Coturnix japonica: one gene and its partners. The protein of the gene in region 1 interacts with the protein of each later gene in a biochemical or structural test. Links are inferred from orthologs where the notes say so. Each region holds a gene or a part of one and is shown in the gene's direction. Other genes may lie near its edges. The genes, in order: CRHR1, MAGI2, MAGI3, GOPC, PDZK1, MAGI1 and DLG1.

Region 1 (4,690 bases):
GTTTGATTTGGAAGATTTTATTTTCTTAATTTTATTTTATTTATTTATTTATTTATTTATTTTTGCTATTTTAGCCCATTTTCAAAGCCTTTTCAGAGCTGATACCTGTGCTCCATCGCTCCATCCTCACCCCTCGAGCTGTAGCTCAGCCCATGCTGCAGTCCAGTGCCAAGACCTCTCCCTGTGTCTGGAAGGAGGATGGGCACTGCCAGGCTGAGCAGGCTGCGATCAGCACCATCACATCCAATTAACACTTGCAGATCTGCTCAGTTGAACAAACCATCCCAGCCCCTTCTGGGAAGAAACCTTGAGTCCCAGCTGCCCATGCAGTGAGCCACAGGTCTGGCAGGCACTAAAGCAGAGGGGATGGACCCCTGCAGCCCAATTACCCTATCTCTGGATCTAGGGAGCTCTCATGTTTGGGGTTGTGCTTCATCTGTGTTGATCCCAGAGCCCAGCCTCATGCAGAGCATCACTGGGTATGGTGGGATCCTGCAGGACTGGAACAAGTGCTCCAGTCCCTTGCAGTGCATGCATTTGGGGCAGGGTTATGCTGCTGGATCCATTGTGCCATCTGGAGCAGTCATAACAAGGGAGCTATTCTCAGCTCTGTTTGTACGTCTGCCTGACATCTCGCTTGCTGTCAAAACCAGCTTCCCAAGGCAGTAAATAGTTGTTTGGAAAAGAGCAAGTGGGTGCGGAGCTTGTCTCCCCGTCTGAACACATCCTGCTGATGCTTCAGGAGGGGGTAGGAGATCTCTGAGTGTGCCAACACTAGAAGACATGGGGAGGAATGTGTCTTCCCTACCCAGAATGATTGTGAAGGTAAATGGCACACAGGAAGGGAGATGTAGCACTGGAGAGCAGCCCGGATGTGGGGAAGGAGTCTCCTTAGCTTCAGTGACTGCTGGTGGCCATCCTCTGAGCACAGGGACTGGCCCCTGCCATCCCTCATTCATCCCATCCATTCATCGCAGATGGAATCACTTCATTGCTCCTGCCACGCAGGGCTGAAGAGGTCATTGCAATCTCTGCCAGAAACAATCCTTCAGCAGCAGCTTTTCCAAAATAGCTCCCTGGACAGATGGACTCGGTGGTTCTCACTTCCAAAGCAGCTGCGGAGCCACCCAGGAGATGTTCTGGAGAAGCTTTTGCCAATAGGATTGTTTGTGGTCAGTGCTTCCCCATGCAAGGGGAACGGCAATGCTTGCAGACAAGCCCTTCTCCTAGAGAAGGCTTCATCCTGACCCTGTGGATCAGATCCCTTTAATGATGCATTTTCCTGCTGACAGCTTACAAGGCTGTGATTTTAATAAGGTATCACAAATCTGAACGTGGTGTCAGGCTCATCATGTTTCCTCTGCCTGCTCTTGGGATGCAAAGATGCTAAAAGTGGTGATTAAAATGCTAAACAGGAGAAACTGAAGCTCAGCAGGGGTTGTGCAGGGCTGCAGTGTGGGTCACTGGGGAAATATATGGGGAAGAAGAACAATGGCTGGAGAAAAGAGAAGATAATAGGAGTCCCCAAGAGTGGAAAAGCAGTCCTGTAAATGGGTGCATGCAGATTTGGGGAGGACACCCATCAAGGCGTGGGGAAGCTCAGATCAGACCCACCTGCTGCCACATCCAGGAGGGAACAGAGGTGTGAGGAAGCTGCGTGTTGTGTGCGTAAAGCTGTTCCCATCTTCTCTCTCTTCATGCAGGTGTTTCTCCTTCGGGATAACCTCGTTGCAGCCTCCATCCAAGAGCAGTACTGTGAGAGCCTGCTACCCACCACCAACCACACAGGTGAGTGTCCTGTGTCCCCAGATCATGCTCAGGGCACCTGGTAGCAAGGATGGCCAGGTGAGGGTGAGACCCTTTCTGGGGGTGGGAATGTGCTGAGGCTGCATTGCAGCCCTGTGGTGATCACTGCATCAGCAGTTTGCAGTGTCAGTTGAGGCAGGTGGAAGATGCAGAGCTCAGGAGAGCTAAAAATAGGAAAAATAAACGTGCTTTGGGCTGGAGGAGAGGTGGGCAAAGAGACACCAGCTCTGCTCCTGCTTCTATGCTGCCACTTCCCTACTGCACCCAAGGACATCAGGAGCCAAAGTGGTCCTCAGTATCAACTGCCCTCTGTTAACCAGGAGCCACTGTCCCCTATGTTTGCACCCCTTCACCACCCCTATGCCCAAAGGTGACAACAAGAAGCTGTGGCTTTTTGCACACACCACGTCACCAAAGCAGCACATCCGTGATGTGTTCAGGGCTCAGCTGTCCTCTGTCCCCAGTACTTTCAGTGTTGTGCCACTGAGCACTGCTGGGTTCATGGAAGCAGCTCTTAGGGACGTGGCTCGGGCTGGCTCAGTCAAGCTGGGTGACACCAACAAAGTCATGGGCACCTCACTTATATCCAACACCCCTGAAAGGGTTTGTACCCATATAGGTCAGGCCCACAAAGCATTGTGTTTTGTCCTACATTAAAGATATGATTTAGATGTCACCTCAGCGCTGATGGCTCTGGGTTGTTGATAGATCTGGGGGGAGGAACAGTGGCTGAGGGAGAGGAGAGGGTGAGGGAGAGGGAGAGGGAGAGGAGCTTCAAGGCAGCAGGAGGAAGATCCTCCCTGGTCCAGGGTTGCTTCAGAACTCATTTTGTTTCTGTAATTGACAGAGGACAGAGCATGCATCAAACAATTGCCCAGCTTGACCCAGTCCCTGCTCAGTAGAGCATCTTTCCATCAGGGTGATGGATGGCTCCTTGCCACACTGCTCCCATTAACAACAACATTAAAAAGTCCTTTTTAAACAATTCCAGCTGGGCACTGGCTGATTCAGTGCCTGGATGTTTAGCAGAGCCCAGGGCACTGTGGCGAGGAGCATCCCCAACCTGAAGCATGAGGGTAGAAAGCCAAGGGTAAAGCATGGCTGGTGATAGAAATGGAAGTGCCTGCACGTCCTGGGGGCTATGCAGAGAAGCCTGGCCATCACTCATGGGCTTTGCTCCCTGAAGGTTTCATTACTCCACAAGGTGTTTGTCCTTGGCCAAGTTAAGCAGTGATAAATGGTATTGGTTTACTTCTTGCTTGTCTTTCTTGGTGTAATGTGTCTCTGGCTCTGACCCATGAATTGTGGGGAGCACCTCCAGACCTTCCTGTGATGGAGGAGCTGGCCCATGGCCCAAGGCATGGAGCCTCCTTGTGCTCAGCTCATGGCCCCTGTCACCTGTGCTGTCGCTTCCTGAACCCAGGGTAGAGAGCAGGGAGCGTTTCCAAGCAGCAGGCAATGCTTTTTGCAGGCATCAGACTTCCTTGCATTGGGATTTAGCAGTGCAAAGCTATTCAGGAGCAAGTGTACCACAGCATCTATCTCTTTGGGATGGGGAGCACAGCAGGCCAGGCTTTAAATCTGCAAAATCTCCTCCATCCTACCTACCACGCATGGGTAACTTGATGGATATGGGGATGGTGCGTGTGAGAGTTGCTCCCAGCTCAGGATGGGGGCTTATCTAAAACTAATTGTCCTATGGCTGTTGTTTGGTAAGTGAAGCTCAGCGTCAGCCCTCATCCTTGGGGTCTGTTTAAGCCCTGCCTGATTTAGGCAGCGTTTCTGAGGAAGAGATGTTCACAAAACTGGCAACTTTGTTTTGAGGCTATTTGAAGCGAGGACTTGTTAAGATGATGCTAATGGGAATTGCAGCAAGGCTACAAGACTTAATTTGTTAATGTCTGCATAACTCTTGGGAAATGGCACATGCTGGCAACACGAGCTCAAGGATCCTCCAGCACACAGCACATTGGGCATCAGCTGGATGCACAGACAGGCTCTGCTATAGCATCATTCCTCCAAAAATCATCCCAGCCCAGGTTCTCACCCTTCTCACACTGCCAGTCCCTTCCTTACTCGATTTTACACTTAACGAGGATGCAAGGCTGGGTGGTTCTATTGCTGGTGCTCTGAGGTGCATGCACTGAGCTGGAAAGTTCTCTGCTTAGAACAGAGTGGTGCAGAGAGATGCAGGTGATGCTCACCGGCTGCATAGGCATGATGGTCCAAACTATTATTGTAGTCATCCACAGTGCCTTTCAGTGGGTATCCGTGCATTCAGATTGGCTGCTCTACTGCAAAGGCTCCTCCAAGTAGAAACCATGTTAAGCTGGACTTGAGACCAAGAAGGTGCATTAGAAGCCAGGTCAGCTTGCACCTCTAAACACCTGGAAGCCAAGAAATTTAGCTTAATTAAACTTATCAAAGAGAAACAATGAAGATCAACCTTGTTCAGGGTTGAAAGGTCCCTGTCCCAAGGGCTCCCAGCCTTCAGATTGCTGCAGACAGCAAATTACCTTCCTGATTTCAGTTCCCTGGGGTCTGTATGCAGCTGCTTCTCCCCTTGCCACAAAGCTTTTGCAGAGAGATGAGGTCATTTTGCCCATGGGGATGAAGCATCCCACTGTCAAAAGAATGCTTCTCACTGCAGCCTTTTCACTGGGAAGGAAAGGGGAGTCTGAGTAGATGGGGAAGCCTAACTAATAGGTGAGGCTTTCCCAGAGCAGCCCAGCAAAAAGCAGTCAAGCAGAGCGAGTGCTTAAGGGGTTATTTTGCCTTTCATAGCATTCAGGCTTGGATCAGCCCAAGGAGTTGGCACCCAATTGCTAATAGCTCTGGTACTTCTGGCTGCACGATTCACTTCTTCAAGCTGTTAAATTGTTAT
Region 2 (4,534 bases), on another chromosome or scaffold:
TCATATACTCTTTTCTCCTATATCTTGCAGAAGCAAAAACTATACTTCTCAAAGTCAGCAGGTTGCTCTGTCTTTATTTGTCAATCTTCCCTTCAGATGGAAATTATTATTATTATTATTATTTTTTCAGCAAGACAAGCTTCTCAGAAATACATGCCAACTGCTACACTCCACTGCTTGCACACGTGTTAGGCATATGACAGAACAAATTAAATGGAAAATGCACAGGAGCAGAGGGCTGCACTATCACCTGCTCCTGAGTGCTTAGACAGAGAGAAGTACTTGGGGTTGGAAATGCCACTCTTTGGTAGCTCGGGTTATGTAGGATTTAGAGCCAAGCAGATGGAACCAAATGAGATCTGGTAGGTGACAGCAAGAAGATCTCATAGAAAACACACCACTGACTGCTACCCCTGTCGTCATTGCATCCTCTACAACATTCCCTGTCCACCAGCAGTGATACTGTTTCTGTCCCCTGTGGACACAGTAACCAGCATTAAAAAGTATACCCATACACAGTACAACTCTATAAACTGAAGTGTGAGACCTTAGAGCAGGAAAGCGAGGCAGGCTCTGTGCACATTAACACTGAGATCTAAGTAAACGGCTGCTTTGTTTTTCCTGCCGCAACTTGAAGCCTGTCACTGGATTCTCCCTTGTCAGAAGCAGAACTCCCAACCAACCCCTCCACACATTCCATTGCCATCCTTCTTCCTCGAGGAATTTGACTTATACGCATTACCCATTTCCTGAATTGCTACCCAGAGCTTCCCACTGCAGTGGTGTGAACCATCAGGGCACCGCATCACCCTGCGACTCTCCTCCCTGGGCAGGCTGAGGGGAAAGGGGAACCACTCCCGTGCTTCTCCCTCGCCCCCAGGTAGGCCGGGCCCGGGGAAGCCCTGCGGAGCAGGACGGCAGCGGGGTCACCCCGGATGGGACCCGGTATCAGCGCAGCTCATAGGGCTCGAGGTGTTGCCGGAGGCGGAGAGCAGCGGGAACGTCAGCCCGGCGAGAGGCCCGGCCGGGAGCCGCTACGGGGCAACCGGCGGGTACCGCAGCCCCCGGCACCTCATCCCCGGGCTCCCCCTGTCGGCAGGGGCTGCCCTGCGGGGTAGCGGTGCCGCCGGGCCGGGAGCTCCGAGCCGCCTGCCCGCCCCTCGCCCGGCCGCTCTCCGCCTTCTGCCGGCCGTGCCAGGCAGCCTCTCTCTCGGCCTTCACTACCGGGTCAGGCGAGGAGGGAGCTCCGAGGCAGCGCCCGCCTCGCTCCGCCGCTGCCGCCACACTCCTCCTCCCCGCGGCCGTTCCCTCCTTTTTCCCCTCCCACCCTCCCTCCCCGCTGCCAGTTTCTCTACAACTAGTACATCCACACGCAGGGTCCCGGCCGCCGCGGCTGCCATGGATATCAGCTAAAGCGCCGGCAGCCGCTCGGACCGGGCAGAGAGGAGCTCCCCGTCCCCGCTCCGTCGCCCCGCGGGGCCGCGGTACCCGCCCCCCTTGCCGGCAGCGGCCCCGAGCCTGCCCCGAGCGTGCCCCAGCGAAGCCCCGGGGGAGGGGGGCAGAGAAAGGGAGGAGAGAGCGGCAAGCAGAGCGGGAGTCGGGCAGAGCATCCCCACGGCAATGTCCAAGGGCTTGAAGAAGAAAAGCCACTGGACGAGCCGAGTCCACGAGATCGTGATCGTGCGGAACCCGGAGGGGCAGCTGGGCTTCGAGCTGAAGGGGGGAGCCGAGAACGGGCAGTTCCCGTACCTGGGCGAGGTGAAGCCCGGCAAGGTGGCCTATGAGGGCGGCAGCAAGTTGGTGCCGGAGGAGCTGCTGCTGGAGGTGAACGAGACCCCTGTGGCCGGGCTCACCATCAGGGATGTGCTGGCCGTGATCAAGCACTGCAAGGACCCCATCCGCCTCAAGTGCGTCAAGCAAGGTAAGGCGGCGGCCGGGGGGCCGGGCCGGGCCGGGGGGAACGGGGGGCGGCGGCTGGGGGGGAGCAACTTTGTTGCGGCAGTTTGACTTTCCCCCACCCGCCGGCGGCAGCAGCGGGGGGAGGAGAGCGGCGCTCCGCCGTGCCCGCAGCCGGGCGAATTAAATGTGCGTCAGTGACAGCTCTTCGCCATGCCGCTGCGAGGGGACGGGGGGGCCGCGCCGCGGGGCCGAGCTGAGCCGGGCCCAGATCCGAGGCGGAGGGCGCTGCCGTGGGGCCGGAGGAGCGGGCGCGGTGCGGAGCGGATCGGAGCGGGACTGTGCTGTGGGGCGCTGCCCGGGGACGGGGAGCGGGCGGCGGCCTGAGCGTGCCGCTAACGGAGGAGTGGTTCACCTGAAACCCCGTGAGAACGGTCGCCTGATCCCGGGGAGCCGGCGAAAAGTGGGAGGGAGAGGCGGGGAGAAACTTTCTGGAAAGAACTCTTCTGCCTCTCCAGTTTGAGCTTATTTATTGTTGAGTGCTTGAATAGCTCCCTTACGTTTCTAGGATAGACAGGAGGTGCAGCAGATGCTGTTTACGTGTTTGTTTGTGCCTCTTCAAACTCAGCCGGGTTGGGGGGGTAACTGCGAGTGAGTGAGTGAGTGCGGTGAGGCTGATGCTGGCACAACCCCGCGCAGCGCAGTGCTGGAGCTCCGCCGGGAACAGCCGCGTGTCCTCGGACCGGCGCTCTGCGGCGGCTCTGTGCGGCTCTGTGCGGCTCTGTGCGCATCCCCCGAGCGCCCTGCTCAGCCATACACCCATCTCGTCCCAAACTTGGGGATTTCTGTAGTGGGAAGGGGTTTGATCTCATTCATTAGAGGTTTGCGTGCTCCATGGCGACAGCCAGTAGCCTTTGCTCGGAGGACATAAAGGCGTGTTATTGTGACATAATTTTGCAGTTTCACTTGCTCATTTTAATGGAGAGTGTGTTGTTTGAAGTGGTATTTGTGACACTTCGGAATGTTTGAAAGGCATGCCACTTATCAGTTTATCCGAACACAGCAAAATTCATAGAAAGTTTGACTTTCAGGCCTTCAGAATGCACTTTAAGATATAACCACTTGTGTACATAAGGTCACATACCTTAATAAAGACATGCACTGTGGTTTTCTTATTGGTTCTTTCAGGTAAGTAGTGAACTATGTTGTAGATCATATGCTGATAATCAGAAGATGCAGAGAGGCATAATAGTTCATGTGATAAGTGGAGAGGAGTATAATGAATTCTGTCTTGGAGTGTGGTGTCATCTCTGGGTGCCTGAACTCCAGAAACCTGCTCTGTAGTTGTCTTTCTTCATGAATTTTAGTGTGAGAGTTCTTGCAGTGTCTGGATTAAAAGAAGCAGCAGTGGAAGTGTCAAGAAGACAAGGGTTTCTTGTCTGTTAAACTATTTATGTTCTTTCTTCTTTGCAGAAATGCTGTAGATGCTAATCTGCACTAATGCCAACTTCAGGTTACGATGGTGTAATACGTCAGTCAGTCTCTGTCCCACCTCCTCACTATTCTTCATATATTTCATTTCAAGTCAAAGGAATCCCAAGTGTACCTTTAATACACATGTCTGTTATACATGAATTAAAGACATTAGTCAGGCTTTTAGTCTGTGGGTTACTGCAGGTTTATTGAATGAGACTTGGAGAATGTATTCTAAATCCCACCTAGGTTATATATATGCATACTATAGTAGTATATATATACTTCAGCATGTGAACACACTGTGCTTTTGATGTGAGTCCTCCAATACCGGCCAAATAACTGCATGCTTGGAAATGACAGCTCTGTGTAGATCTTTGGACTGAGACTTCTTGATTTGAATGATCTTTCTTGTGCTGCAGCATCCTTTACTTACTAAAGGGATATTCCTTCTGGATCCAACTTCCTGTATTTAAAAAAGGTCAATATTTTGTGCATGTAATCACCTGATTCCTCCTTCAGCATAATTCAGTCGAATCACTGCACTTCTTGGTTAAAAGCACAGACAGCTGATAGCCATGTTACTCACCAGGATAAAACTCCCAACAGTAATTCGCAGCAGTGTGTAGGAGAGAAAAAGCTGGGCAATCAAATCTTTATGTTTTTATAACTTTACTCTTGTTTTAGTTATAAAACACTTTTAGTGTGCTGGAACAAGGTTAATGACTCCATTATCATTGTTTCCGCATAATTTATCAATGGTACCTCTGTAAATTAAAATAGCATGACCTTGAATGTACCATGTGACATGACTGGAGCTGCTTCTACAGAGCTGCTTGTGTATGAAATCACAGAGATAAACGTGGAGGTAGATCACTACTATTTATAATGGGATGCTTAGGAGACTTACTTGAAAGTTGGTATTGAAGTTTCACCTGTAGATGAAAGCAAAGTCTGGCTAATTCAGTTTACAGGTATTAATTTAATGTAGGAAGTACAGGAAAGAAAGGTACTTCCATAATTTTTTATTATGTTGTATTTGACTATACACCACTGAAATAATGCAGTGCTTCATCTTTTATTGCATCGAGGGGTGAAATACTTCGAAAATGAGCCTAGAAGAGTGTTGCTGTTTTATGGGAGCTGAAAGTGTTAACTTAGAAAA
Region 3 (4,013 bases), on another chromosome or scaffold:
ATTCTCTTTGGCAGGGGCAGAACAGAGTTCAGTTTTTTCATGTCAGCTTTTCAAAGTCCATAGCTGGAAAAAAAAAAAAAAAGTGGAAAAATGCTCATCACATCCAGGGACGTGTTTGACATTCTCTCATAGCCAGATTAAGAGGGTGGTGCTTAGTGAGAAACAGCATAAGCATCTGACAAATAGTAATGCTTTCCCTGAACAACTGCAGAAAACAAAGAAAAACACTCAGATTCTTCTGACTGGATGAAACCTGTTCCCAGTTACAACCAGACAAGCAGCTCCATGGACTTCAGAAATTACATGTCAAGGGATGAAACCCTGGAACCTCTGCCCAAGAACTGGGAGATGGCCTACACTGACACTGGCATGATCTACTTCATCGAGTGAGTAGCCCAACACTGCCAGCAGGAAAGATACGTGCTGAAGAGCCACAGTCTGGGTAGCTGCCTAATGCTCTTAGACCTGTCCTGTTCTTTTACTTTATATTCCTATATATTTAATTTTATATATTTCCTGTCATTTGTTCCTTACTGTTAATCATTTATGCTACGTATTTGATTGCTGTTGTGCAGGGAAGTGTTATGGCTCCACGTGCATAGTCAGTTTGCAATGTGAGTTATGTATCTCATAAAATGCAAAGCTGGCTGGATGTTGGTAGGGAAGGTATAGCATCATATGAACTTTTACAATGACAAATCTCTCTGACATCTGAGAACTTGCGTGTTCTTTCTTCTCAGCATGAGTTCCTTGGCTGGGAATGCCTGCTTGAAAAGATGAGCAGCATAGATTAAAGCTCAGGATAGAAAAGCAGTTCATGTGTGCACATGTGAAATAGCCTCAATTATGAATTCTGAGGTGAAAAGAAATAAAAACCCAATTGAATGTTAATTATACAACTAAAAGCGTTTGCTGCTTTCAGGTAGAAATAGATGGTGTTTCCACGTGAGCTTTCTGGGGCACAGGAGAGCATTCCTCTCATGTTTCACATCTGTCCTCAGGAGTCTCCAATGCTGGCACCTCTGAGTATCGTTGTCACCTTTTCTATTTAGCATTTGACTGAGGCATAAGCAGGGATTAGGTTATCTAATGACTATGGTTTGACCGAGGTAGTAAATATTTAAGGTAAAGTGAAATTTCTTGAGTCTGAGGAAGTCCTCTTCTTTTAATGGGCTGTTTTGCTCTGCAGCCACAACACAAAGACAACAACATGGCTCGATCCACGGCTCTGTAAGAAAGCCAAAGCTCCTGAAGATTGTGAAGATGGAGGTGAGATATTTAGAGCTTGTTTGTTACTGTGGCTGATCAATGGTTGAGTTTATCAGGGCTAGTTGAGATCCATTACTGCTGTGACAGAAACTTACTGCTGATACACGTGCCACTGGAGCAAATAGAGTGTAGTGCTGAGTATCCATAGTTCAGTGGTAGTGAGAGTCCACATAAGACTGGGAAAGACCATAATGGATTTTTCCTGGAGCCGTGGAATCTGACTGAATCATGGATGTATCTGCATTCCTGAGAAGAGAATGATATATGTTGTTCCAGTGAGTATCATTGCTAAGGAGAAAGCTGGATATATCAGCAGCAATCGTGCTGGAAATTTTTATGTGGGTGGAACATGGCAGGGATAAAAGGTCCATAAATACTAGAATATATGCAGAATGAAGATGCAGTGTAATACCTATTGCTAGTAATGTGTATCACAAGCTTTATGGTATAACATTTGAATGTGTTAGTAGGGGTAACAGCTCTTCATGCTGCTGTTTCAAGACTTGTAAGTCAGGCTCACGACTGACCCACAGACGACACCTGTATCCATTTCCTATGTAGTCTGTGATTTAGTCAGCCAAAAAAGGAGCACCAAGTAGCTCAGTCTTCAGCAAACGCACATTACAAAAGCTGAGGCAGATTCAGAACAGCCTGTCATCTCCTTAAATTGCACAGGCTAACAATCATGTATTCATAATGAAGCCAGCTGGAGCAATGGACTCATACCGCTGCTTGTTAAACATACGTGCAGCACACCACAGGATAAAAAGAGCACTTGAAACGGAGAGATGCAGGATATCCAAATGAACAACGTTTAAATGAATAGCCCCCCTGGGTCTTTTGTCAAATCCTGTGGAGTGATGCTGATACTAATAAGTGGTAACATGCTGTCATATGCAAGGAAAATTGCTGGTACCTTCAAACTTAGGGCAGCCTCAAACAAGATTACACAGAAATTTTATCCCTCGGAATGTCTGGTTACCTGGCTGTGTCAATTATTCAGCTATTTAAATTTCCCTGGTCATGGTAACTAGAACAGTAAAGCTAAAGTAATTGGACCTCTGTTTTAACTGCCTGCCACCTCTAGTCACTAATGATCTGCTGCTGCTTACCATCTCACCAGACTTTGTGTTTTCTATCCCCTTTCATATGTTCTTCCTTCCCAAATAGGTTAATTTGGGTCTAAGTTTACTACAGACTTAAATTGATGTGGTTTTGTTAAATAGAAGTCTGATCCAGTGGAACAGAGTGAGAGGTGCAGGGCTTCAGGTTCCTTGGAATAAGCCAATGTTTTCTCATCAGAAGAAAAGTCTCAAACAAAAAAAGGGGAAAAAAAAAGTGATTTCTGTTTAATTCATGTTTTTCATCTGTCCTTTTTTTGTAAGAGTGCTGATATTTGCAGGTAGTTTTCCAAAGTAGTGGAGAATTTTGTTCTTTCTGATTGCAGAACTTCCTTATGGATGGGAAAAAATAGAAGATCCACAGTATGGAACATATTACGTTGAGTAAGTGCTGAGTATTAATTTGGAATAGGCACAAGCTGAGCAGAATGCAGGGAAGCAGTTGCATAGCAGTGTATATAGATTGCACTGAGTAAAGATAAGTTCTAGAGGCTGCTGTGCACATTTCTAAATCACTGAAGGACCATAATATGGTTGTGCTGACATATTGGAGTGAAGTTCTTCTAGGGAAGGAAAGCAAGTAGCAATGATAGTAATTAATAAATAGGAATGAGCTTGGAAGTTTGTGGAGTGGGATGAAGGTATACTCTCCCAATTGGTTACAAGTGAAATCACGTTGTTTTTTAAAGTAAATCAAGTTGAAAGGAAATAAAAACAAAAGACATTCCATGTTGATTCTGATAGTTTGGAATTCATTCAAGCAATAGTATTTGTGGGTTGTCTCTTGGGATGGTGCAGGCAGGATGGTTTCCTCTGATACCTTAATCTACCTTTTGTCTACAGTCACATTAACCAGAAAACTCAGTTTGAAAACCCAGTGTTGGAAGCCAAAAGGAAAAAACAACTGGGACAGACTGATGGTGGCCCTTCAAAATCAGGTATCACTAAATATATATTGACGTCAAGGGTAAGAGAGTAAAACCAGAAATTAGAGGTGGGAGATTTCATTTGTCCCCTGTTTTAATCTGTAATACAGTTTGGAAAACATGCAAGTTTGGTAGCCAGGCTTTAAGATATCTTCCTTAATTCTCTGATTGTCTGTTTTACGTGTGCTTGTGGTCACCGTACTTTGGAGATGTAGTGGCCGCCATAAAGCAGCATTGCTGATGGTTGATTATATTGCATCTTATCATGCACAGGGGCAGAGAAGTCTCTCTTCACTAGAGATCCCTCCCAGCTTATAGGAGCACTTATACGGACCTCACTGAAAAAAAGCACGATGGGTTTTGGTTTTACCATCATCGGAGGGGACAGGCCTGATGAGTTTCTCCAGGTGAAGAACGTGTTAAAAGATGGACCTGCTGCGCAAGATGGGAGAATTGCACCAGGTAAATCATTATTTCTCTAAGCTTGCATTTCTTCTGATGCTTTTTAGAGTGTGCAGCTGCTGATGTGCGAGATTGAGAGGACGGTTTTCTCCTGGGAATATTGTATTGCGTACACAATCTTGATCACTGTGATGTGTATTATGAAACAGGGCTTCAGGATTTGACATGTACTTTCCCTTCACTTTGAAATTACATGCTTAACCCACACGTGGCAACAGCGCAAGGCTATGAAATA
Region 4 (4,461 bases), on another chromosome or scaffold:
GTCCAGCAAGTATTAGACAGGTATTATTGTGCAGTTAGGTTTCTAAAGAAACTGTATTTGAGAGGCTAATCTTTGAGTGGAAGAAGCAGAGACAAATCCTTGTCTGAACTGTAAAATCCTGAAGCAATTTTATTGTTTAACAGAACAACTTTAAACAATAACGTTAGTTTATCTTTTGATACTGAAAATACTTGGATTGCCCATCAGACCCTGTTGGTATAATAGCTGTGGAGAAAAAGCATTAGAACGAAGCTTGAACAATTGCTCTGCTAAACTTGGCTCATTTAGAAGCGTTTGTACAACTGTCTAAAGTTTAGACACTTACACCCTTTGCTCAGACACTATCAGAATATCCCACTTTACTGAGCCAGATTTCTTTCTATGGGCCAGTATAAAAATATTTGCAGCTTTTGTAACCATTGTGGAAGGCCTTCACAGTAAAAGCACCCCTATTATGTTTCTAGTTTGCTACTACCTGCCTCAAATTACAGTGCAGACAATCTGAACAGTAAAGGGCAAAAGAACTGGTTTGTAACAGCGATCTGTAAGATTCTTGTCAAGTCTGCGATATCAGATCCCAGAGGAAACATGAAACTGCTGCTAGCGGTGAAGTTTGCTTTTACCCTTCTCTCCTGAAAACACAAACTGATAGAAGTGCAATCCTTTCCTGCTTTAACAGCTCTCTCTGTATTCCAGGTGAGTGGTCACACTGCTGGGCTGTAATTTGTCTCTCTGTGAAGTAGAGCCATGAGAGAAACTGGCTTCAGGACACCTTGCAGCCCAGAGGCAGGGCATGTCAGTGCCATCTTCTTGCTGTCTGCTGCTGTTGGGGGTCATCTCTCTGCTGTACAATCTCTAGGGTCCTTTGCACCCTGTGCTGTACAGAGTTTCTGGGACTCTGTTGTAGGCAGGATTCAGATCCAAAATGAGTTAGGAAATGCAAATACCTTTCCGACTGGTATAATGACATTTACCAGTGTATCTGTAGGTGCACAGACGTCTAGGATAGTCCTTTTTATGCAATACTTTCAAGTTTGCATCTTAGCCCCTTTGCAGAGCTTGAACCTAAAACCAGCCCCTCCTGACAGCGCACTGTATGACAGCACCGCCGCCCCCTGCCGCCACCGGCCGGGAGCGCAGCGGCCTCGATCGCGGTGTCGGAGCTCAGCCGTTGCTGCCTGGGAGCCGCCTGGAGTTGTGGCAGGCAGCGCCAGCCGCCCCCGAGGCCGCCTGGCAGCGGCATCGCGCCTGCGCTCGGGCTCATTCCGCTCGCCTTGGCTGCGTGGCCGCGCCGGGAGAACCGGGGCCGCCGCGAGGGCGCAGGAGACGGCCGGGGCGGGTGGGAGCGGGAGCCGGGCCCTGTGCGAGGCGAGGCCGGGCCGGGCGGTGGGCAGCGGGATGTCGGCGGCGGGCGGCGTTGGCTCCTGCGGGCCGGCCGGCGCGGCCTGCGGCGGAGGGGTGGGCGGCGCGGCCTCGGCGCCGGGCGGCGGGGTGTCCATGTTCCGCTGGCTGGAGGTGCTGGAGAAGGAGTTCGACAAGGCCTTCGTGGACGTGGACCTGCTGTTGGGAGAGATCGACCCCGACCAGGCCGACATCACCTATGAGGGGCGGCAGAAGATGACCAGCCTGAGCTCCTGCTTCGCGCAGCTCTGCCACAAGGCGCAGACCGTGTCCCAGATCAACCACAAACTGGAGGTGAGGGCTCGGCGGCGGGTCGCTGAGGGGCCGGCAGGGTTGGGGCTGTCCGCCCACGGCAGGGTGAGGCCTGATGTGGGCAGCAAGCAGACTGCTCGGCACTCAGGCCCCGAGCTGCAGGACGGCGGCTGTCCCCCGGGAGCCTGGCCTGGAGCGGCCCAGCAGATCCCTTCGGGTTGTGTTGTTATGGAGTTGCTCATGGTGATAAAAGGTTGTCTTTGGTGATGAAAGGAGCATCTTGAGCAGCAGATACCACTGGCTGGCCTTGTATTTGCATTATGTCTCTAGGAAGTTGGGTAATCCTTACAAAATGGGACAAAGACAGCAAGAATCTTCAAGCTTACAGGCGGCAGTTATTCCTGTCTGTAAGTGAATGGAACAGAAAAATGGACTGGGGATAGGCCTGACAGGCCTTCTTGTCCCTTCTTCATACTCCTAGCAGATCAGATAGTCCCTTGCTGAACTCACTTGAACTCATAACCAAGATCTCACGATCTGTGTGGAGACTTACTGCTGTAAAGTTTTCTTTGTGTCTAAATGAGCATTTCAGTAAGAGTGGGAAGGAAGAAGCGTCTGCTGGAGCTGAGTTGGCTGGTGTTGATGTTACTGAAGAGGTAGGGCTGTGAAGTCCTGTGGTTGATGCAATAGTTGGAGCACTCTGGAAGGAAAATCTGGGCAATTTTACATTTCTCATTTTCATAGCTGCAGTCCAACTTGAGGCTTCTTTCTGCAGTGTGTTTGGATGTCATTTGGCCTGTCCTTAGAGAGCGTGGACATTAGATGCCTTCTTGTCTTTCTGTGACAAGACTAGTCTTTGTGCTGCAGGACTGCTGAGACGTCTCCATTCAGTTATCTTTTCCCTAGGCTAGAAATCGTTAGCTTCTTCAGTATCTCTTGTAGAGCATGCTTTTTAGATTTGTATTGTTTGTTCCAGTAGCTCTGAAGTATATGGGAATAAGGAGAGCTGCTTAGAAGCCATGTAGGCAAGTGCATTGCAAGAGCTTTAGTGGACAGGTCAGAGGTGCTGGTTCTTTTAGTCCTTTGTATTTCACTTATTGCAATGAAATAATTGAAGAATCTTCTGAAGGATTTCCTTGCAGTAGGAAATGAAGAAAGTAAGCTGGCTTTGGTTTTAATCTGATCTCTTCCTGGTATGAAAACCTTGTTATGCAAAATTCTGGTAAAGCTTAACAGAGATTCAGGTTATTTCAAAGTAGAATAAATACCTCACTAAGGAAGTTTTGCTCATTGCAGTCTTTATTTCACCACAGTTCTCACTAGTGATGTTTACAGTATTCTTTGTATTTATGTTGCTATAGACTTGAATACACTTCTAAATGCAACTGAATACACAGTTTGCATGCATGCTGTCAAGCTATACAGCACGCTTATTTGTATAGGTGTAGTCAAATAAGATTTATGAGTTTATAGTCGACAATCAGCATTTATTGCACAGGGCTGGTGGGTGTTGCGTACAGACGTGTAAAACAGATGAGTTTTCATATCAGCTTAAGGGAGTGAAATAATGCTTGGTGAATATTGCTTTGAGAAGTTGTTTCATGCTTAAATATTTTGCAAGGAAATTATAAAACTTAGATCCTGAAAGATCGTAGATTGCTCTGAAAGTAAAATCTCCTATTTATTTCTATGGAAACTAGCACAAAGAGCACAGTAAGATTTCTTAATAGAGCAGATTTTCAGCTACAGAACAATATTTTTCAGGGCCCTGTCCAACCTGGTCTTGAGCACCTCCAAGGACGGGGCATCCACAACCTCCCTGGGCAGCCTGTTCCAGGGCCTAACCACTCTCCTAGTGAAGAACTTCCCCCTAACATCCAAATATCATGATTATTAGTCATAAATTGAAAATGAAAACTGCCACTTTTAATCTCTGAAAGATGGAGCTGCTCTGTTGAGAATGAATGTTATCTATGTAGGGACACGGTTTAGTGGGAGCTATTAGTAATAGGTGAACAGTTGGACTGGATGATCTTTTAAAAATTCAGTGTAAGTAGAAGTAGTAGCTTAATGTGCTGGTGAAAACTGAGCTTGATTCTGCCACTTTGACTGCCAGCCTCATTCGGTCATTTTAAATGAACAAACTGGAATGGAATGTCTGGTAGAGCACACCCTGTGTCTTGGCAGTTGGGTTAAGCCAACTGCAGGCTAGAGTTTAGGAAAGCATTTAAGCAAACGTTTAAGAGGTTATTTGTCTATGTAGTTTTGTTACTGTTGAACTTAAAAGGAGTTAATAGGTTTAGAAGAACAAGTTCCTTTAAGCTGAATTTTTATTTCTTTACTAACTTGTGCTATATCAGCTAAAGGATGTGTAGTGTGTGTGGGTAACATGAAGATTCCTATTTAAAAAGAAAAGAAAGCAACTCAGTACCCAAAAAAGCCAATTGTAGGTGGCTTTATATGTATGGTGTTTTTTCACATCATTTGAGTCCATCTTACAGAGCGTGCTGCAGAACTGCATTATTGATTAGGAGCACTTTTCAACCAAGATCAGACTATACACTTTATCATGAAGGTCCTTTGGTTTGTTTTTAATCCCCTCTCTCCTTTGGCTTACAATATGAAATGCACCTATGTACAACCATGGTATTTCTTTGCTCCGTGACAGATGTGCCTTTAATGCTGGGAACATAGCTCTAGTGAGTTAATAAGAAAAGGAAGTTGATTTATGTTTTCAAATGTGTTTAATTGTCCATCTTTTACTGAGGTGTCATTTCTTTTTTTACACATCTGCCTCTGAATATTTTT
Region 5 (4,464 bases), on another chromosome or scaffold:
CAATCAAAGGTGTCACCCCATTCCTCCTCCTTTCTGCATGACTTAATGCTGAGCATGATGCCAAATGGCACAGAATATCCCTTCAGTCTGTCTGGGTCAGCTGTCTCTGGTCTGTTCTTCCCCAACATCTTGTTCACATCCACTCTACTCACCTGGGGGCAGGAGAAGAGGGATGGAGAGACAGTCTTGGTAGTTCGCACACTGTTCAATGACAGCCAAATCCCTGGTGTGATTTGTTTCAGACACAAATGCAAACAACAGCACTGCACAGGCTGCCACGAGGAAAGTTAGCTCTGTCCCAGGCAGACTCAGTATAACCTTATCCCCTTATTCCATATCATTTGCGCCATTCTTAGGTTCCATGTTATCTAATGCATCTAAATACCCGCTGGACTTTTGTCCCATTCATCAAGGCCATCACTCAGGACAGGGGGAGCAGAATGTTGGATCACTGGGCACCAACACCAGCTTGAGGTGGGTCATTGTATTCACATACTTCCATGTGAAACTCACTCCCTTTTAGTTCAGGTGGTTTCTGCTGTATTACTTCCTGTATTGTACAAGTCAAATTGTGCAACGTATAGATCTCTTTGAGGTACATAACAAATTTGCTCATCCTTCCACACTGACCACCAATTACACTTTGATCTTTGAGCAAAGACAATTCTGCAAGTGGGTCATCCCTTTCCAAAAAGAAACTGTCTTTCTCAACAACTTCCCTACATGCACTGTAGGGACTTTGTGTCCTTTCATTGATTGCAATGCATGTTTCACATCTGCAGGTGGCCTGTGGGATGTTCTCAATCATCAGGTCTACCCCTCAATCACAACCACTTGGCACATTGCATCTCTCCCAATTACTGTCATTATTTCAGATTCCTCACACTTCCACAAGCCATCCAGCTGAGGAGGGGAATGAGAGAATAGATAGGTGGGCATCTAACTGCTGGCCAAGATTAACCCATCACAACCCTATGTTTGGCACCCTACATGGAGTGCACGGGTTTGAATTGGGAACCTCTCGATCTGCAATCAAACACTAACTAGTCATCGTCAGCACATGACAATCCAAACACATTCCTTTAGGACACTACTTATAGCTGAAGAAGGTTCTTGCACAGAGCAAAGATCACCTTCTTGACTGAGTTTTTTTGAGTATAATTATCAGTAGAACAGAATTCAAAGCTGATGAGGAATACATGTGATCTGCACTTCTGCAGGCAAGGACAAGGCAGCTTATCAAGGCATCGAGCATATTCAGTGAAACTTGGTTAAATAAATCATCTTTTAAATCAACCTTTGCCCAATCAAAGTCCAGTCCTACCTATAGGTACAGCTACAGGAGGGACAGCAAGAGAGGATTCCTGCAAAGGCTGCTTCACACAGATATACAGGTAAGTTATTCCTTTTTTTTGCTATATAAAACTGTGTTTTAGGAGTCTGATAATCTTGCATATAAAGTTTTCATGAAGTGAAAAGTTGTTTGCAGCCCACTATGGTCTTCCCTCCATTTCTACATATGAAGAGATAATCTGTCCTGTAAAAGCTTACTGTTCCTTCAGCTTTGTTTACTGCTGGTTTTCTGTAAACATCAGGAGTTAACCAAATTTCCCAGTGTTTGTCGAGAAAAGCTGCTCCGAGTTCTAGTTGAGATCAGTACAATGTCTAAACAATAGTGCAGGACATCCCTATGTGAAGTTATTCTTGATGCCACTATACTTAGACTCCAAAAACCACTAAGTACCTCACCAACGGGAATAAGAAACTCAGAACCCACAGCCTGCCTATCCATACATGCTGAAATGTTCCATCTTCTCCAGCTTCAGTGACATCCCTGCCAACTCCCCACTCCTCACCCATACTTTTCTATAAGCTGACTAACTAACCTTAACAACACAGTTTTAGCTTCCATAACAAATACTCTATATTTTCATGAGTAGCCAGATGTACTTCAGCAGTAGGCTGCTATCAAGAACGTGGAGAGATTTGACCACTGGCTACTTCTAAAAACAAGTAAAAGAAAAGGTCAGTTTTCACACACATAAGTTACGTGAGTGATATACAGAAACAGAAAAAAGAAAGAACTGTAAAGAGTTCATGCAGGCAGATGAAATTTTTTAGTATTTATTAGGCTGAGACTAATGGCCAACCTCTGCAACAGATCTTTGGGCTTTTCACAAACTTCTAACAGGAGCGAGAAAAAAAAACAATCAATCCAGTAAGACACACATCAAGTGTGGTAATTACCTGGATGGAGAAAGTTGCCATCATTTATCTTATTTCTTATGTCATAGTGGATCTTTGGCAGGAGTTCCTAAGACAACAAGATAGCGAACTTTGGAATTGCTCCTTGATCATAACTACTGCTTACTTTCTGAACATAATGTCTCTCTTACTGATAATGAGCTACACGAGACAATTTCATTGTATCATAAAAATATAGAATATTTTAGCTTGGAAGGAACTTCTGGAGCTCATCTGGTCCAATAGCTCATGCTAAACCAAGCCAACTTAGACCAAGTTTATCAGGGTCTCATCCAGGTAAGCACCTCCAAGGATGGAGATTCCACAGCCACTCTAGGTTCTTGTTCAAGTATCTGAAAGCACCAGAGATTAAAAAGCTGACCTTACCTCTCTCTAATTAGACTTCCCCTCACTGCGACCAGTATCTGTTGCCTCTCATCAGTATTAACATCCAAGAATAATAAGGATCTGTGTTTTCTACACCATCCGATTAGGCACTTGAAAATGCAAATAAGAACTTTCATTTACTTTCTTTTCCCAAGACTGAACAAACTCAGCTCTCTCAAACCCTCTTCAAACAAGTTGCGCTCCAAAACCTAACCCACCCCAGTGGATTAGTTTCAGTATGTCAGTGACACAGAGAGCTCAAAACAGCAGTCACGCATAGCCTTACAAGTGCCAAACAGCAGGGAACAATCCCTTCATTGACTTGCTAGATACATTCAGATATAGCCCACTATCCAGTTGATCTTCACTGCAAAGCTACACCAACTGATGTGAAGTTTTGCAGGACAACACGTAAGTGCACAAACTGACCAGCCAGCCTGTGCTGTCGTTATGCATGGTTTAGATATAGATTTTTTTCCACTTTTCTCTGTTAAATGTTTCGATATTTCTGACAGCTCCTCTCTCCAGCCTGTTGAGGTCTCTCTAAATAGCATCCCTAACCACCATCCTATTGACTGCTCCCCTCTGTTTAATATTATCCATCACGTTTGTTGAGGATATATTCTGCTGCACTGACCATGTCATAAATAAAAATGTTAAACAGTATCTATCAGTACCAGTACCAACCCTAAACATTGTCAATAAAAAGCAGCCAACAGCTGGATTAAGTGCCACCAATAAAAACCCTCTGAACCTAATGGCTCAGCCAATCTTCTGCCCACCTACAGAATCTGCTTATTCAGTCCATATGTCAACAAGTCATCCACACTTACTGTACAAGAGACCCTCTCAAAGGTATTGCAATAGTTAAAGAGTACATCGTTCATCGTTCTATGCCTGTCACAGAGCCAGTCCATTCATCTTGGAGTTAGCAGGTAAAAAGGATTCATTTAATCTCCCTTTGCACAGCTGGATTTCCCAGGAACCCAAACCTTAAGGATTCTGAAGCAAACTGTCTCAGCTTGCTTTTTTTTTTTTTTTTTAAACTCACAATTAGTTTTTCCATCCTGTTTCGTAGAGATGACTTCTGTTCTCCAGCCACGAGAGTGCAAAGTGACCAAGAAAAGCAAGAAGAGCTATGGATTTTTCCTGCGTGTGGAGAAAGACACAGCAGGACATCTCATCCGGAATGTGGAAAAGAACAGCCCTGCTGAAAAGGCTGGCTTGAAGGATGGAGACAGAGTCCTCAGGGTTAATGGTGTGTTTGTAGACAAGGAGGAACATGCAAAGGTACAAATCTGTTTAGTCTGGAGGCTACATCACCTCCCATGATCCAGACCCGCTGTCACTATTGGAAGCTTTCTCTTCCATTTCTATGGTGGAAAAGTCCGAGAGCTGAGTCAACAGCTCTGGATACCTCTCTGCATCATTTATTATCCATCATGGGTAGGAAATGTTTTTGAGGTGCCTCCATAGTGCATCAGCAGAAGGATGTGACAACAAAACCAATAGAGAGTTTAATCCTTCCTGGAGAAAGCTTTTAGGTCAATCACTCTGCTTGAGCAATTCACCTTTGATTTCACCTTGTCCATTACAGGTGGTGGAGATTGTGAAGAACAGTGGAAATTCTGTTGTATTTCTTGTTCTGGATGAAGCATCTTATAAAAAGGCAGAAAAGGAGGGAGCGAATCTGGAAGAGTTGGGTCAAAAGGTGTCAAAAGGAAAGAAGGAGAAAAAGGAGGAGAAGCAGTCCACACTGCCCATGGCTAATGGAGCAATCACTGCCGTTCCACAACCACGACTCTGCTACTTAGTAAAGGAGGAGAAGGGGTA
Region 6 (4,013 bases), on another chromosome or scaffold:
TAGAACAGCTCCTTTATCTGAATGACAAATTCCTCCCTTGGGAAACTGCAGAGCTGAGTTTTGTTTCATCACTGACCCCATAAAATGAATTTTTAATTATGTGTATACTCCTGTCTACTAGGATGGCTTACGATAGCCCTCAGAATAGACATGGAATACAATTTCTGTCTGCTTTGGCTCATTTCTGACCCTACCATCTGTGCCTAGGGAAACAAGGTTAGCAAACTGTATAATTAAGGCTTGACATTTATTTATCAAAGGCATCGAGAATATTTTTTTGCTATTAAATGCCATGCCAAGAATTGTTTCCAGTGTTTTTTCCCACCACTTCACATATGGATGCCAGTTATTTCCGCAGCACTCCTTCCTGTTGGAATTAAACTGGAAAGTAACAACGATGAGACATAAGTTTATTTTACTTGCTATCAATACACTGGCAGAATGGTTTGAATTTGAGCATCTGTCTCTTCCTTCTAATTCAGGCACTGCATTATTGCTGCTTACTGAGTTTGTTTGAGAAACAACTGTAGGGTGGAAAAGTTTAAACTGTATCATTTTTTGAAATCATTCTGATTTCTCCTAACTTTCTGAAGCTATCTTGAAATGGAAAATGCTTTACAAAACTCATGAACTGGCTTTTACTTGTTTCTTTAAGTATTGATCTTTAGCAGAAATGCTCAGAACCAGCACTCTGCAGTGCTTATAGCATAATTACTTAAAATGTGCTTTGTTTTTATTAAAGATATTGTGGGATGGGAGACAATAAAATAACAAGCTCTGAAGGGTAGACCTTGCCTTGGACACAAAGATGGGCTTTAAGAGAATGCAATTCAATCTGCACATCCCCTCACAGTGGGAACTCTTCTTAGTGATGGAGAAACTTTACAGTAGAAGGGAGATTACAGAAACCATTGAATTAATGGGTGACGAGCAGCTCATCTCTGCTGCAGATGTTACCTGGTATTTGGACTTCCTCTGTTTTTTTGTTTGTTTGACTCCAGTGAGAATGACTGTGCCCTTAGGAATCCAGTTAAAGCGGTGACGATGTAGGCTGGCCTTTTAAAATGCAATCAGACAGACCTCACCTTTCCTGCTGTAATTTCATTTTTTTTAAAAGAGTGAATCACTACTTTAATGTATTTGATATCATCTGCCATTTCTCCTCAGATATCATATTGATACTGGAATCCTCTTGTTTTCTTAAGCAGGCTTTTTGGCTCACTGCTTCACATACACTGCTGTCAATATTGTTTGGTATTTCGTTTCCTTCCTCAGAGATGTTTCACACCTGACCATGATTCCTGCTTGTCACATGACAGATTTCCTAATTCATCACTCTCTTCCATCCCCAGCCACATCAACCGGAAGACACAATATGAGAACCCGGTTCTTGAAGCAAAGAGGAAGAAGCAGCTTGAACAACAACAGCAGCAGCAGCCACCAGAAGGTTAGCAGCACCAAGGGCACGATGATTGGGGTGTTCAGGGGGGAACCTGCCCTCCCTCACTTTGGCAGCCCCGTGCTGATGGTTTTGTCCTTTGTTCTGTGGCCATAATGTGTTCTAGAGGTAAAACGACACCCACAGGAAAGGCTGTTTGGGACTCATAGTCTACTGAAGGGAATGAGGAGTGAGCATTGTACACATATGCTAGAGAAACCCCTCTGCATGAGAGAGCTTTTGCATTTTGTGTAGCTCAGATATCTGAATTAATTTCATGATTTCAGAACACTTCACCCACCCCATTTTTTTCTCCTTTATTCATGTCTTAAAAAATGTTTTCCTTTTATTTTCTTTTTTAAAGCAACCCAATGGCAGTGAGGGACCTACAGGTTTCTTTCTGGACTTTCATAGATTTCCCACCCCTTGTTGAACAGCAGCTCCTGTCAAAGGGAGAGAAGACTTAGGTCTCAGCATTCATCCTACACCCCCAGTTACCGCAACATCATCCCTTCTATTTCTCAGTCAGGCTGAACTGATGTTGTGAGGACTGTGTAGAATAGCTTTAATGTAAATATTGAGACCACTTTGTTGCAAGTCCCGAGTGTGAGTGTGAGGAATACTGTCCGAGCACACACAGATTGATTGACTTAAACATAGAGGATCCTCCAGAGCTGTTTTTTGAACATCCCATTCATTTTGTTCCTTCTCTCTGTGTCTCTTTCTGTTCTTGCTATGCTTTACATGTCTCCTTTGCTCAAACCCACACTCCCAATGTGTGTACGTGGAGGAACTCATAGTGCTGTTGTGAAACGAGTAACATTTCCCTCTCTGCCCTCTCCAGAATGGACAGAGGAGTGTCCATCTCTCCCACCACCCGCTGCTCCAAACCTTGTTTCAAACAACCAAGAGACAGTTCGGGAAGCACCAGTGCAAGGTAACAACCTTGTTAAACCAGTTGTAAAAGCCCAACAAGTTTTTTTCCTGCAAAGGAAGTTCCCACCATAACCAATAAAGGGAGTATCACACACCAGTCCCCTAGACTTTGATACTAATTACCTCAAAACCACATTTGTTGCCAAATGTGAGGAGCAAACGTGATTACCTGAATGAAAAAACGAACCATGACTATTCTTCATGTAGTATCCCAAGTCTTCAAAAAGGCACAAAAATGTGATTTACATCAGTGGGATTTAACCACTGTACCTGCTGGATGCAGGTACAAATAGGGGATCTTTTGCTACAGAGCTGTATTGTTAGGCAAGGATTAGGCTTTTATGTCTTCATAGCTGAGTTTATGGCATGGCTCTTACAGTACGATCCATAGAAAATAGAAAATAGATTTCTTTTTGTTCACACAGGGCAGCCTTCCCTCCCAAAAACAAAATCATGCAAACCCTCCAGCACATTCCCATGGGATATTAGAGTATATTAGGGTAGTCCAGATTGGCACCAAGGAAAAACGTGTCTGGAGATGATGCCCTGTCCACCAGGCATCCAGCACTGGTCAGTTCATTTGAGTGCTGTTTTTATATACTGTTGAGATGGTACAAGGGCTGCCCAAACTCCATACCTGGCAATGCAGGACCCATTGTGCAGGGGACCTCACTCAGCTCTCCACCTGCTGCCGACTGCCATCCACCAAAATCTTGCACCAACATTTTTGTTAGCCTGCCTCAATGATGTTCTGGTCCACACTGATACTCCTTCTCTCTCTCACTCCTTCCTCTTCCTTTCTTAGTGCTGTTCCTCCTTCTCTTGCTCCCTGTTTGTAGCACTGTTCCCTGCTTCCCTGTCTCCTTGCCCTGCACCTGGGTGTTTCCATTTCCCTCTGGTGGCACTGCTGGGATCTTCCAGATACACTCCTTTAGAACATTCTCCCCTGCGAACACCATAGGTGTGACATAGCCTGTGATGCTACTGTCTCTTGTTACTAAGGGCAAGTTCAAGCCGTGTTAGTAGGCAGATGCTGGCAAGCTTTGCTTGTTCTGCTTATTTTTTTAACCAAAAATGAGCACAGGGCCAAACCCTGCTACAAGCTGCCTGTGTTTTTCTGCACCCTGGGGTCTGAGCACAGTATCTGCCTGCCATGTGCAGGATTGCCACATTCCTGTGCTACCCTTCAAAGGCAGAAGACGGACTCCTTGCACTGCCCCCTCATGAATAATCTTCAAATATACGTTTTATTTTTTTCCCCCATTCAAAGGCTTACAAGCCTCCAGTTTCCCTTAAGATTTGCTTTCTGAGCAGAGCCCCACGGCAATGCTGCCGAGGTTTCTGAAATCATGCCAGCACTGCTGGCTATGACACAGGCTGCTGATCCTGGAGCTGTCACCAGAGGGCTTAGTGGCACAGGCTTTTCCCCTCTAAACGTTAAAAATAATTAGAAGTTCAGAGGTGCGTAGTGTTGGCACTGTGAAGTACACAACCGTGACTCCTTTCCCATCCTGTGCAATGTGCTGTGCAAGGATGAGCTTTTGCTTTTGGAGCACCTTGTGCTCCCTTATCCATGCTCCCAGAGAGTATTAGCAGTCCTCCAGCACAGCCCCCCCCCCCCCCTAGGATTCAGGATGCT
Region 7 (4,013 bases), on another chromosome or scaffold:
TCACTTGCAATACCGTAAAAATTAAAGAAATCGTTCATGTATTGCTGGAATGCAAATTTATTATAAGTCAGTCTTACTTCTCTTAGACACTGTAAATTTCAGATTTAAAAGATCAGTGGTCTTTGCTATTAAGTGAAGAACATGTATATTGAAGCAATATATGAATCTATAAAAGCCTTCATCCGCCATCTATTTCTTAAAAGGCTGTGGTTATAGCATTGGTGTGTTCCTTTGGCTGTTATGAGTATGGCTTATGAATGGAAAAGAATGTTTGAAAAGCTACACAAGTGAGTTCTTGAAGCACTGCATTTTATTGGGAATTCATAGTGTTGTCATGTGATTTTAGCCTGTACGTTCAGAATTATAAATTCTCTGCTGTCGTGGTGCTGATTTTTAGTGATTCCCATGCGAGAAATCTTACTCTGAGGCATTTTGTTGGACTAGAGATGTTCTTTTAGAGATGGCAACTGAGGTATATTTCAGATGCTTGCACTAACCTTTTAAAGCCTGCAGCTGTTAAAGGTCAAAGCCTCGTTATTTTCGTTTCATTCACTGCTGATATGCTTTGTGGATCTGAGAACAACACAGAACATTCCTACATTTCAAGCTCATGTTTAAAAACTCACTAGTAAAATAATAGTGAAATTTATACAATCATAATATTTTTTGTGGAGCTGAAGTGGTTGAAGGTCTTTGTATAGAGGCCACTTCATGAAAAATTTACTGGGAGAAATGTGCATGACGTTCAGCTCTGTATATAGAAGAATGTTGCAGAAACATTTAAAGTATGGAAAGTGCTCATGAAGAAGGTGGCATTGCCTCTAGCAGTGAATGACACCATGCATGCACTTCATTCTGGGAAACGCAAGAGCATTTCAGTTACGCTTTAAAATACTTCTTGTGCTTGACGTCAGTTTGACATGCTAACATAGCTGAAGGAATTGTATACTGTTGGTTGGCACATCTTTGTGAGTTTTATAATTCATCACTCTTTAAAACCGTCCTCCATCAGTATCATTGTAACACGTATTCTGCTGATGAATGTCTATATTGTTGCTGTTTGTTAAATGACTTGATTTAAGTTTATTGCTTTAGAAACAAATACATGGATGCTTCTTTGCATTTACCTTTCTAGGTGGCCAAGAGGAATACGTCCTGTCTTACGAACAAGTCAATCAACAAGAAGGTTTGTAGATCTCACTTAGTATAACGTGTCCATACTCTGGTATCAGAACGGTTCATGTGCACTTATGAACCGAGTGCTATAATAAACTTCCTCATTGATTTTCAACTGTTATCCCTATTAAAATGAATAAAGCATGAAGGCATAAATTATTAAATACAACTGCTAAATTATTTAGCATGTAATCCAAAGGTGCGCAAATTAATGACTCAACCACTGTGTGGTTTAAACTGCATAAGGAAAATAGGGTATATTTGTTTGGTCTCTGTGAACCTCAGAAATGATAGTTTTCTTCTGTTTCATATTGCGGTAGAGCTCCCAATGTTGCTGTTTCCTTTTTGTCACAGGGAAATACATGATAGTAGATTATTTGTTTGTTGTAGAAATCCTAGTTTAAAATGTTTCCAACCCATCCAAGTCTCATATTCCTGCATGCTGCTTTTTGTATGGCTGATTTGTTAGTTGTTAACCATGTGGGTTATTACAGAAAAAAAAAAAAAAAAGTATTTTTGAGTAAAGAGGAAATCAGTGGGAGATTATGCTTGGAACAGAATTCCTTGCACTGATTTTTAATGGGATCCTATTATTTCCTTTCCACCTTCTCCTGATCTTTTTTTCCCCTCTATGCTATAGATGTAGTTTTAGCATTCCTGTTTACCACCGCAGGGTGCTAATGGCTGATTTATTTAATCTGGTAAAATACCATATTCATAATCTGATTAAAAATATGATTTGTAAAAAAGGAATGATTGATATCTATTAAATATAGAATACAGTTTAAAAAAAAAAAAAAAACAGATGGAAAAAGGTATATTCAATTAATTCAATTAATAAGATTCAAGACGCTCCTTTTGTGAATTGGAATTACTTCCAGGAGTTAAAATGTATTTTACAAGTCAAACTGTATTTAATTTAGACTTGTGTAGTAATGACAGAACTTAAAACTAGAACTAAAGTTCATATGGCTGAAATGATATGCTTACAACTAGGTATTTAGATATTAATGTCGTTATGCTAAATGCAGTATAATTTGGAATCTTATGCTTGTCCTCTTTCCCTTCAGAAGTACATATTCTGTTAGATATTACTACTGTTACCATGCAGTAAAGCTTATTTTTGCTAAACTTTAAAGGTTGGTGATGTCATTGAAATGTAACTTAAGTTATTCCTTATGTTTAACAGTGAACTATACTCGACCTGTGATTGTTTTGGGACCCATGAAAGACAGAATTAACGACGATCTGATTTCGGAATTTCCAGACAAATTTGGCTCATGTGTTCCACGTAAGTTTCAGCAGACACTAAAGCAATTATAAGTGGGCTTTTGGTTTAGTGTTGTAACTTCCTTCATAGACCTAATTTCTGTATATAGAAGTAAAATGTTAGGATACCTTCATGAAGTTTATTAATGGATATTCTTCTCTTGTTACAGTTTTGCAGTTTAGATGGAGGACTATTTTTGAATGTTGGGAGGGAAGGGGGGGGGGTGGGGGGTGTTTCTTGTTTTCTTCTTTTAAAGTTACTGGTTTATATTCAAAGATACTACTAGACCAAAACGGGATTATGAGGTGGATGGACGTGATTACCATTTTGTCACTTCTCGAGAGCAAATGGAGAAGGATATTCAGGAGCACAAATTCATTGAAGCTGGCCAGTACAATAATCATCTTTATGGAACAAGTGTGCAATCGGTGCGAGAAGTAGCAGAAAAGGTAAATCACTGCCAGTTGTTTACATTTACTGAGGTGACTGTTTGACTGTGCTGATGTGGATAGGAGAATGGCAAGAAGCCACTGGGACCTTGAAAGGACTTCATACAAACCTAGAATCAAAGAGCATTATTACAAATTCATTTAAGAGAAACAGTTGGAACATCGTGATTAAGCTGTGAAAGAAGAGCAACTTCTGAAGTGCTGACAATGTAGTCTTCCACCTGTTGTTTGAGATCCTTCAACACCTGGAATAATCGTTGGACCAAATGCAGCAATTACTGGCTGTCATATCACAAAAGGGAACATGGACAAGTTACTGCTCTTAATTCTCTGTTCCTCTGCCAGGTCTACTGCTAATGAAAAAGATGTTCTCATTTCAGACTACCAAAGTCCTTCTGTTCTACTTCCCCTACACTGCCCCTTTCTAAAATGGTGTTGTCACAAATTGTTCATACACTACTCAAAGAAAAGAAATAAAAATGTGTGAAGTAGAAATTACTATATTAGACATAAGAGGTGCTCAGGAATAAGGAGGAGTCTTTGAGATGAGGAAATTCTGGAGCAGTGGCAGGTTAATAATACCGGGTGAACAACCCTGCTGCATTCTGCTTCAGCCCCCTGAGGAATGAGCTGTATTTGTTTCCTTAAAAAATAAAAAGTAATTGGCCCAAATAAATATAATTTGTTGTCTCAAACCTGGCGTTCCCCCGGGGTGGTACCTGACAGTGAATGAGAAACATTATATTCAGTTCCATCTGACTGTTCTGATGGTGATAGATTTGCTTGGCATTAGAGGCAGTTATTCCCTCAGAAATGCTTGTCAAGGCATCTGGCTCTTTTCTAAACTCTGACATGGCTGCATCCTTAAATAAACCCTAAAATAGTGGTGTAGTTTGATGTACAGCTGCTCTGTATTCTGTGTTGTTGATTGGGCTGCAGCTTCTGATGTAGAGAGTATGGAAAAAGAGTCAAGAACATCTCAAGTTATGCATGATCCCAGCAGAGGAGTGAGCACTGTGGGACCACATGCTAGATTAGTACAATTCTGATGTCATTGATGCAGGTGTTTTAATTTCGTTGGCTTTGTTGGAAACATGGTTTCTCTTCTAGGTTATTAT

What was found.
Region 2: the proteins of CRHR1 (region 1) and MAGI2 form a complex in vitro, tested with the Homo sapiens proteins (2 studies listed by BioGRID and IntAct, with this or other methods). The link is inferred for Coturnix japonica from reciprocal best matches to the Homo sapiens genes CRHR1 and MAGI2.
Region 3: the proteins of CRHR1 (region 1) and MAGI3 form a complex in vitro, tested with the Homo sapiens proteins (2 studies listed by BioGRID and IntAct, with this or other methods). The link is inferred for Coturnix japonica from reciprocal best matches to the Homo sapiens genes CRHR1 and MAGI3.
Region 4: the proteins of CRHR1 (region 1) and GOPC form a complex in vitro, tested with the Homo sapiens proteins (2 studies listed by BioGRID and IntAct, with this or other methods). The link is inferred for Coturnix japonica from reciprocal best matches to the Homo sapiens genes CRHR1 and GOPC.
Region 5: the proteins of CRHR1 (region 1) and PDZK1 form a complex in vitro, tested with the Homo sapiens proteins (2 studies listed by BioGRID and IntAct, with this or other methods). The link is inferred for Coturnix japonica from reciprocal best matches to the Homo sapiens genes CRHR1 and PDZK1.
Region 6: the proteins of CRHR1 (region 1) and MAGI1 form a complex in vitro, tested with the Homo sapiens proteins (2 studies listed by BioGRID and IntAct, with this or other methods). The link is inferred for Coturnix japonica from reciprocal best matches to the Homo sapiens genes CRHR1 and MAGI1.
Region 7: the proteins of CRHR1 (region 1) and DLG1 form a complex in vitro, tested with the Homo sapiens proteins (3 studies listed by BioGRID and IntAct, with this or other methods). The link is inferred for Coturnix japonica from reciprocal best matches to the Homo sapiens genes CRHR1 and DLG1.

The regions. Positions count from the first base shown.
Region 1 is NC_029542.1:1,739,101-1,743,790, forward strand, and holds the start of CRHR1 (corticotropin-releasing factor receptor 1), read left to right. Parts: upstream 1-1,499; 5' UTR 1,500-1,550; coding exon 1,551-1,788; intron 1,789-4,690.
Region 2 is NC_029516.1:10,510,011-10,514,544, forward strand, and holds the start of MAGI2 (membrane-associated guanylate kinase, WW and PDZ domain-containing protein 2), read left to right. Parts: upstream 1-1,323; 5' UTR 1,324-1,620; coding exon 1,621-1,921; intron 1,922-4,534. UniProt on the Homo sapiens protein: Seems to act as a scaffold molecule at synaptic junctions by assembling neurotransmitter receptors and cell adhesion proteins. Plays a role in nerve growth factor (NGF)-induced recruitment of RAPGEF2 to late endosomes and neurite outgrowth.
Region 3 is NC_029541.1:3,745,079-3,749,091, forward strand, and holds part of MAGI3 (membrane-associated guanylate kinase, WW and PDZ domain-containing protein 3), read left to right. Parts: intron 1-211; coding exon 212-386; intron 387-1,189; coding exon 1,190-1,269; intron 1,270-2,716; coding exon 2,717-2,774; intron 2,775-3,233; coding exon 3,234-3,328; intron 3,329-3,589; coding exon 3,590-3,778; intron 3,779-4,013.
Region 4 is NC_029518.1:57,622,754-57,627,214, forward strand, and holds the start of GOPC (Golgi-associated PDZ and coiled-coil motif-containing protein), read left to right. Parts: upstream 1-1,383; 5' UTR 1,384-1,398; coding exon 1,399-1,695; intron 1,696-4,461.
Region 5 is NC_029516.1:83,006,487-83,010,950, reverse strand, and holds the start of PDZK1 (Na(+)/H(+) exchange regulatory cofactor NHE-RF3), read left to right. Parts: upstream 1-1,214; 5' UTR 1,215-1,394; intron 1,395-3,709; 5' UTR 3,710-3,711; coding exon 3,712-3,921; intron 3,922-4,228; coding exon 4,229-4,464. UniProt on the Homo sapiens protein: A scaffold protein that connects plasma membrane proteins and regulatory components, regulating their surface expression in epithelial cells apical domains.
Region 6 is NC_029527.1:11,508,775-11,512,787, reverse strand, and holds part of MAGI1 (membrane-associated guanylate kinase, WW and PDZ domain-containing protein 1), read left to right. Parts: intron 1-1,352; coding exon 1,353-1,447; intron 1,448-2,282; coding exon 2,283-2,375; intron 2,376-4,013. UniProt on the Homo sapiens protein: Plays a role in coupling actin fibers to cell junctions in endothelial cells, via its interaction with AMOTL2 and CDH5. May regulate acid-induced ASIC3 currents by modulating its expression at the cell surface.
Region 7 is NC_029524.1:10,713,671-10,717,683, reverse strand, and holds part of DLG1 (disks large homolog 1), read left to right. Parts: intron 1-1,135; coding exon 1,136-1,186; intron 1,187-2,365; coding exon 2,366-2,467; intron 2,468-2,722; coding exon 2,723-2,895; intron 2,896-4,013. UniProt on the Homo sapiens protein: Essential multidomain scaffolding protein required for normal development. Recruits channels, receptors and signaling molecules to discrete plasma membrane domains in polarized cells.